Linked DNA regions of Coturnix japonica. The protein of the gene in region 2 purifies or fractionates together with the protein of the main gene of each other region. This does not show direct contact. Links are inferred from orthologs where the notes say so. Each region holds a gene or a part of one and is shown on either strand. Other genes may lie near its edges.

Region 1 (4,889 bases), on a different chromosome or scaffold from region 2:
AAAGATGCATAAACATAATATCTGATAAATATAAAATCTGATAAGTCTATCTTTCCTAGCTGCCTGCCTCCATAGCCTGGTCTTCCTTTTCTCTGTTTCAGCTTGGAGACTGCACTTTAGTCTGTTAATTAGAGAAGGGAGAGGGCTGCCAAGCAAGAACACCACATACTTTGGAAATAAATTTTCATTCCAGCTCTGCACTACTGCAAAGGACGAACTTCCACATGGTGTGAAGCTCGGTGGGCTGTGCCTGCAAATAGTCCTTCATCACAGCAAAGGTTGGTGTGGGGCTCTGAGCAGTCACTGGTGGATCTTCTCAGTCTCAGTAACTCTCCTTACAGCAGGTACTTCCCTTTGAAAAATGCTGGTCTCTGTTGAAATCTCTCAGTCAGAACCATCTTTATCTCTTTGTACAAAGTTTTGCCATTAGTGTTTCACAGCGGCTCTGATCTGGGCTCTGGTTTATTGTGGAACTTCTATCAAGGAAGACCAGCTGCTGGTTTTCCCATCTTAAAGAACGCTGAGGTTTAAAATGCCTCCTGGAATCGGACATCTTTAAAGTAAGCATTCTTTATGTGTTTAACAAGCAGGAAGGTAGAGCAGGAAGCTTTATTTTCCTTTGTGGGTTAGTGTGAAGGTCAGTGCTATAGACCTTCTGTAACTCCTCAACACTATCCCAACATTAAACCCTTCTTAAGAAAGGGGGAAACCTGCACCTGGTGACCATCAGGTCCCAAAAGAATTCCTGAGCTTTTAGTCCCACTGTTGGAGATGGGTAGTGGTCCATTGGGCACTGAGAAGAAATCTGAACCATGGCTGCAGAACCTACAGCAAGGCAGATCTATTAGGACACATCCATTGTCTGAAAGGAAAAGCAACTTTTAAATATCTATTGGTTAAGCATGTGATTTATGAGGGAATGCCTTGATGATGCTGTCTGTGTATAGACTGTAGTATTTCTATTTCCTATGGTAAATTTGGTGTTGGCACAAGGGAAAATGGAGACTCCAAGGGAAATTCTTGACTCCGTCCCTGCTGTTGAGGTGTTTGTGGTAGCTGGGAATGAGGGAGATGTGGGATGTCTGGGTTGCAGGTGGCACAGCTCAGCCCCTGCCATGTGTCACAGAGCAGCTTCTGCCCATTTCTCACCGCTCATGTACTTGTATCAACAGGCTGCGTGTTTGATGGGGGGAAAAGCAACTGAACTGCTGCTGGAAAGTGACTTTGTTCGTGATGCGAACACAGAGCACTGTGAGGAGATGCTCGTATTGCTGGGAAGAGGAAGGTGAAGGAAAACCCCCACCTGGGAACAAAACAGCTGCGTAAAGGAGCAGGTAAGCGCACACTCAGCGCAGATGCACAAGTAGTTTCTTTGTAAACACACAGTGAGCACTTTTGTCCGCCCCTTCTCGTGCCCCTCGCGTTCTGGGGGGAGCCGGGAAAGAAGCAAAACAAACCCAAACGCTTCGGCAAGAGACCAGGAGCTCGAGGATCCCCGGCCCGAGCCCGATCCGCCGCTCCCCGCCAGGTGCACGGCGCGGGCCTGTGCGGACGCACGGCTCCTCCCCGGGCCGCCTCGCGAGCGGGAGGATCCCAGCCCCCTTCGGGGAGGCAGGAGCGAGGGGGGAGCGGGCGGAGGAGGAGGAGGAGGAGGAGGAGGAGGGCCGGGAGCGGCGCCTCCCCCTTCCCGCCTCCCTCCCCGCCGAGCGCAGCGCCCCGAGCATGGAACCTGCCTGAGACGCTCGGCGGGCTCCGCTCCGGCAGCTGCTGCTGCGGCACAACATGGAGGCGGCGCCGCCGCTCCCGCTGCTGCTGCTGCTGCGGCTCCTGGCCGCTTCGGTGCTGCGCTGCGAGCCGGGCTCGGCCGGGGGTGAGTGCTGCGGGAACGGGAAGGGGGGGCGGGGAGGGGGGGGAACGGCGGAGGGAGCTGCTGCCCCTTTTGTTGGCGGAGTTTGGAGAAACTTCCCCTGAACTCCGCCGGGGCGAGACGCGCACATGGACGGGACGGGACGGGCGGAGCGGGGCTCCCCGGGAGCGGCTGCGGGAGGGCGGGGAGCCGGCGTGTGTGCCCGCAACTGCCCGGCCCGGGGCGCGGAGGGCTCCGCCGCACGCAGAGGCCTCCCCGTCCCCTCCTCGCGGGGACCGGGCTGCACGGGGGGACTCTCGGTGGCCGCGTCCGGTCGCGAAAGAGAGACAAAAGTCGTGTGCGCGTTCCCACCCCCCCCTCCCCCGCGCCGCGCTTCCGCGGTCCCGGATTTGTGCGGGGTTTGGAGGAGCTGGTGTCGGGTGTCGCTCACGGGCGGAATCCGAGGCTCGGCGGGGCTGCCGAGGGGGGTGGGGGAACGAGGCCCCCCCTCGGCCCCCCCTGCGCGGCCGGGCTCCGTCTTAGGGCCGTGGGCGGCGGGCGGGCGCTGGGCTCCGCACGTGCGGGGCTCCTGCTGCGCGCTGTGCCGCGCTGCGCTGCGATGCTTCCCGGCCGGCTGCGAAAAGTCGGTGGTGCGGCCGAGTAGGGCAGGAGGGCACCACGGGGCCTCCTTTATTGGGCCACCCACCTTAACGAAGCGGCTGCAGTTATTAACGCTGTCATTGGGAACGGGAGCGCTGGCTGCTGGCATCGCCGCTCTCTATTTTTAGTTGGAAGTTCGTGTAGGTGTGTGTGAAGTTTTGCTCGTTCTGTCCTGTTTCCGTGAGGAAGGTGTGCATCTCGGAGTGCCCCTTCTCCTAACGCTGACCTCCGTCTTGCCAAATAGTTTCAGAAAAGCCAAAGTGAGACTCGTTCCATTCTGAGCACTCGTGTCGGTGTGAAGATGTTCGGACTTGAGTGAGTTAAGCTATGCAGCTTCAAGAAGTGAACTCACAGCTGTTTTATATGGAGCATGAGGAGCTCATAGTGTTCCTCGTGGCTGCTACACGTTTACTTGCTGGTCTTACAAACGCCTTTGAAATATTTAGTGGCCTTTGACTGGGTACAAGGATGAAAGTTTTTACAATAAGGGTGGTTGCCCAGGGAGGTGGTGGATGCTCAATGCCTGGGGACACCCAAGGTCGGGCAGGACGGGCTCTGAGCACCTGATCTAGTGTAGGTGTCCCTGCTCATTGCCACAGAGTTGGCCTTTGAGAGTCCCTTCCAACTCATGCAATTCTCTGGTTCTTATTTATTAAGGAGAGAACTTTTAATAGTCTTAGGGTAAAAGCATAATGCAGTTCACGGTGATGTTAAGTTGTAACTTGGAGGATGAATTTGTTTCATCTCATTGTAGAGGCAGCGCTTTTGTTATCGTGGCACTGAGTTGCTGCCTTCCAGACCTGTTGATGAAGCTGTGAGCCCCAGGGATGAGCGTGCTCTGTGCACGTGGGGCAGAGCAGCTGTGTGTGCTGAGGAGGAACCTGCTTCCAGCTCCCCGGCCCTGTGAGCAGACGCCTGACTTTAAGGGGCTTTTACCTCTCAGAAGTATTTTGATGTGCTTATCTCACAAGTACGTAAATAGATCAGCAGGATTGGGAATGTGCTGGAACTTCTCTGGTGTTGAAGCTTCAGCTTGGTAGAGTGGATTTGGAATGCTATGGCCATGAAATAACTTCACTGTGGAGCAGTGTCCTTGCTCTGTATGTGGTCGTGGCAGGAGTTGGTTTTATTAACGTGGCTTGGAATAATGATAAACCTCTGTGAGATGTGTGTTGCACTGACCTGGAGGTGAGGCAGGGCAATTGCTGCACTTGCTGCTTCTGTGGAGGGAGGGCTCTCTGCCTCTGAGAGTTACTCAGGAACTATGGCAAGGGTGTATTTTTCTCTGAAAATATTGAAGTGCTTAATGCTGTATAGCAGATGTTTTATGTCTGGCTCTTAAAAAGTAGAAGCGTTTGAAATAACTCTCGTTAAAACGTTACCTTCAGCAAGAATTGCTCTTAAATTCACCGGAGCTGGGTTAGCTGCTGCCTGTGGTGTGCTGTACTGGGAGATGGTGATTTGCTTTAATGGGATGATGATTTGTCCGATACCAAGACGTGCAGAATAAAGACATCTGAACAGAGGAGTGTGCTGGATCATGACAGAAGCTTGGAGCTTGGGATGCACTGTGAAATAAAAAATGCACTTGAGCACAGCCCTTACAATGGCTTTTAATTCATACTGTTTTTCTTGAGATAATCTAAAACTGATGAAACTTCTCACTGTGCCTAAGTGTGGAATGTAGCAAGATGGAACACGTGTTTAATTTGGTGACGAGGGAATGTGCTGTGTGGGAGTCCCTATGACTTCAGTGCCGCTTCAGTCAGTCCTTCATTGGCTCAGGGAGCTCTTCTGGTAACCACTGCCAGCACAGCACGAGTCATGGGCACAGGTCCTCTGGGCTAGAGAGACAACACCGGAGCTTCAGGCTTACCATGAAGTTTAAGCTCATATTTTCCAAGTGCTGGCTGTTCTGTCTCCAGACGAAGGCTTTCAGTCTCATTCAGGTGTGGTCTCTGAACTCATTTGCTAAGTCTGAGCACTTTAAATGTACTCTCAGGGTAGATGTTTACATAATGAATGCATCAGTCAGACACATAAGGTCAATACTTCAGAAGAGCGTGAATGTATTTCAGCAGTAGCCCAGTGTGAATTCCATCATTGCCTTTTGCTATTTTAAAAGTTGTGGGTTTTTTTGTGCTTTTGGGTTGTTTTTTTTGTTCCTCAGCTGCTTTAACTTTTATTTTATGATTGTTCTCACTTGCTTATAATGTAATAATAAAATAGGCCTTGGTGTTGTTCCAGCGGTGAATTATTTTCTATCCTGCTTGTTTCTTGGATAATACAAGCCAAGGTGACTTGTAACAAACACAGATTGTTTCTGAGAACTTGTTATGGTAAGGTCTGTCTGTAACAACAAATAAATGTTACAAAACCTCTC
Region 2 (3,955 bases):
ACCCCTGGAAATAGGGCAAACTCAGTCCTTCAAACCTACATTTGGCTGTCAAACGCACATAGCATCCCATCACAGGGGTCAGAAGGGGCCTCTGGAGGTTAAAAATCAGATAATATTTTAAAAACCACAACTAATAATATTTCTAAGTGCTGTTCTGTAGGGTCTGAAATCCCCCAAAGGGAGGACTGTGCTTCCTGCGGGCAGCCCCACATCCCCCACTCAAGGCAGGTTGGTTCAGTTACATCTGCAAATCCTCATTTGGAGCCTCTGGCTGCTCTGATGTCCATTGGGGTCCATCCCACTGAAATACAATGGGGTTTGGGGTGAAAAAGAGGGAGTGAAGGGTATTTATTGCCTGAAGTGTGGGAATTCCATAGCACTACTGTGTTCCCCCACCTGGAATGTTAGCTCATGGTCATTTAAGAAACTCTTCCCTTCTGCAGAAGAGTTTAAATCTGGAGGGAACCTCTGAGGTCAATAGAGTTGAACCAGAGCAATGGGGAAGGCTTTCCCCATGGTAAATGAAGCCAGTGGAACTCCCCATAGAGTAAGCCCTGGTGTTGGGCATTCCCTGAGCTCACTGCTCACCAACACAGCCCTGTGTGGGATTTGCCTTGTGATGGGGGTGGACGTGGATTCATCCACCTGTTCATGGTGATTCGAGGGTCTCACAACTAGAGCAACCTCAGGGTTTTTGGAGACATCAAACCCCTCATTCAAGGTGAATAAAGTGCAGTGAGGTTGGGTTAGAAGAGACCTTACAGCTCATCCAGTTCTTGCCATGGGCTGGGTGCCCCCCAGCAGCTCAGGCAGCCCACTGCCCATCCATGGCCATGGGCACCTACAGTGATGGGGCACCCACAGCTCTGGGCAGCAGTGACAGTGTCTCATCACCCTCTAAGCAAAGAATTTCCTCCTCTCACCTGATTTAAATCTTCCCTCTTTAGTTTAAAACCAATCCCCCTTGTCCTGTCACACTATCAGACCATGTAAAAGTCACTCTCCATCTTTTTTGAGCCCTCTTTAAGTAGTAGAAGGCCACAATGAAGTCTCCTCACAGCCTTCTCCAGTCCATACAAGCTCAACTCTCAACCTAACTCCATAGGAGAGGTGCTCCAACCTCTGAGCAACCCCATGACCACCTCTAGATCTGCTCCAAGACCTCCACATCCTTCTCAACACTGAGGGCTCAGAGCTGATGGCTCTGAGTTCCCCTCCTTGTGGATGGGAAGGCAGCAGTCACACACTAACACCCATCTCCTTTGCAGATGTCTCCGACTTCAGCTGCAGAGAGATGCGCATCACCCGCTACATAACAGAGGGGCCGTGCCGCAGCCTGAAGCCTGTGAAGGAGCTGGTGTGCTCGGGGCAGTGTGTCCCATCCCACCTCCTTCCCAACTCCATTGGCAGAGGGAAGTGGTGGAGGCAGAACTCCCCGGATTACCGCTGCATCCCAGCTCATACCCGCACTCAGCGCATCCAGATGGAGTGTCCCGACGGTGAGACTCGGACTTACAAATTCCGAGCTGTCACAGCCTGCAAGTGCAAGCGCTACACTCGATACCACAACCAGTCCGAGCTGAAGGACTTTGGGAAGGAGCCTGTCAGGCCACAGAAGAACAAGAAGTCACGTCTGTCCCGAGCCAGGAGCAGCAAACCGAGCCAGCATGAGCTGGAAAATGCCTATTAGGAGGTTGTGCCAAGTGATGCAGCCCAGCAGCTCTGGATATTTTATACCATATACAATGGCACGCACAGGCTGAGCACGAGGGTCTGACTGCAGGCGGTTCCAATTCCTTCTGCTACGCTGGGTCTAAGGCTCACATAGTCAAAATCCATCAGATGATAGCGGTTATGATCTGATAAGAGAATGAGATAAAGCGAGCTGGTGGGAGCTACATTCAGTCTGAAAGGAGGGGACACAATGGGGATCAGCATGAGGCCACCTGGTTTGTACAAGGAGAGGGAGGCGAGGTGGTTAGGGTGACAGACATATCACACCTGGTTAGGAGTCATTCTGCTTGCTGGATGCAGAAGGAATGCCACATTCCTTTCCCTTTTCTGAGTCCCATGGTGCAGGACAAGCAAGGTGAGGCCCTGCACTCCCAATGGGTTGGGGGTGTTAGGGATGGGGAGGTTGGGGCTGGGTCTCAGCTGGAGCCAGGCTACCAGAAGTGAACATCCCCTGCCAGGTGTCCTCATGCCCCAGTGGTTTCCTCCAAGAAAGAAAACCAAAATATGACATTTGTGCTCTCACAGGCGTGACCAATCTGTGTCACACTTCTAATTAGAATGCTGTAGGGTCAACAGGTTCAGAACTGAGAGCTGACAACCAAATCATCCTATTAAAAAATAGGAGCAAGGGTTTGGTTTAGGACCAGTTGAGTGAGTTCTCCTAAGGGAAGCAGTTTTACTAAATGGATGCTCCTCTCAAGCAAGATAAGCAAGATGTTTGTCCTATAAACAGCTAATTGTGTGCACGGTTTAACATAAAAAGATACTGATTAGTCCTTATTTCTTAGTACACAACTGACTTTAGTATCAACCTAGATATCTCAATGTACATTACATATTCTGTAGACTTTGAATTACGTGGCCATACACCTTGTAGAGCTGAGACTGTGCAAGCCCAGTTCTGGGAGGAGGGTTCTGCATGAGAAGTGGGCCTCTGCTAAACTGAGAGTCATGAATTCCTTTAGAAGAGTCTTTGGTGTGTGCAGTGTCTTCAGTTTGACAGCAACTGTACTGAACTTCTCAACATTCAGACTAAAGTTTGTGTTTTCCATTAAAGAATATTACTGGGAAGCAAATAGCCACACGCTGTACATATCCTGTAGAAGTGCTAGGCCTAGTATCAGGTGAACACAGATCATATAAACGATGGCCATTTGCCTTGTTGATTATAGATTCTGCAGTTATTTTGTGTGGGATCAGATATCTAGAGAGAAAAGCTATTGTTTCAAAGAGTGAATTATGTATTTATTTTGTCTAAAAAATTATTTATGCAACGTTTTCCCTTGTAGAGAAGTTATACTGCTTGAAAAAATGTTAGTCTGTCATTGTGAATTTTAAATACATTGGTAATAAAGTAGAAACAATGATTAATTATGGGAAGACTCATTGATTTTCAGCTGCAGTACGGAGCTGTTTGCTGTAAAGGCAGTGAAATACAGAACTGGAGCTCGGCTCCAGCCTGGGGCATGCATTTCTATGATACAGAGCACCGAGATCCTTAATTTCCAATTAATAAATGACACATCTCTAAGGCTACTCTATATCGGAGCTTCTCACCCCTGGGCATGATACTCCTCATGCAAACATCATCTTGGGCAGATGCGGAGCTCAGAGTCCCAATGCACCATATTCATTTCTACTCCCCAGGGTAAGAACAGCTCAGCAGACTCAGCTCCCCACCTCCTCCCAATAACACTGATTCACAGTCTGATAATCCCATCAAAAAACACAAGAATGCCACCGACTTTCAATCAAGAAATCTTGATTGAGATCTGATTAGATTCATAAAGGTTGGAAAAGGCCTCTCAGATCAGGAAAAGTCCCACTCCAACCCATTTGCCTTTCATACCAAATCTATACACTCCCAGTTCTTCCCAAACAGAAGTATCCATACCACACCCAGAGGAAAACATTGAAAACAGCATTTTCATGGGCTAACCTTGAACTGAGGAAGCATTCCTGGGCACATGGCATCCATAGGACAAACTCAGAGTAACACACACTCCCAAGGGTCTTTTGTAAGGCCCAAACACACCTGTTATCTTCAGTGAAAGATAACCTCACAGGCAGCTAAAATCCACCAGGTGTCAATGGTTCCACTTGAAATTGGGCTCTATAATTACAATGAGTTTCACTCCATCCATCCCAGACTCAGCAAGAGCTCCACAGCCTCACCCAAGGAAATCAGCCCTGAGAAACAAAGGTGGAAAAGCAGAAGGAA

Evidence for each region. The genes of interacting proteins can lie anywhere in the genome.
Region 1: the proteins of SOST (region 2) and LRP5 purify together in Homo sapiens (affinity purification with mass spectrometry; 3 studies listed by BioGRID and IntAct, counting the BioPlex papers as one, with this or other methods). This does not show direct contact. The link is inferred for Coturnix japonica from reciprocal best matches to the Homo sapiens genes SOST and LRP5.

The regions. Positions count from the first base shown.
Region 1 is NC_029520.1:8,358,890-8,363,778, reverse strand, and holds the start of LRP5 (low-density lipoprotein receptor-related protein 5), read left to right. Parts: upstream 1-1,685; 5' UTR 1,686-1,782; coding exon 1,783-1,870; intron 1,871-4,889. UniProt on the Homo sapiens protein: Acts as a coreceptor with members of the frizzled family of seven-transmembrane spanning receptors to transduce signal by Wnt proteins.
Region 2 is NC_029542.1:2,887,364-2,891,318, forward strand, and holds the end of SOST (sclerostin), read left to right. Parts: intron 1-1,239; coding exon 1,240-1,690; 3' UTR 1,691-3,108; downstream 3,109-3,955. UniProt on the Homo sapiens protein: Negative regulator of bone growth that acts through inhibition of Wnt signaling and bone formation.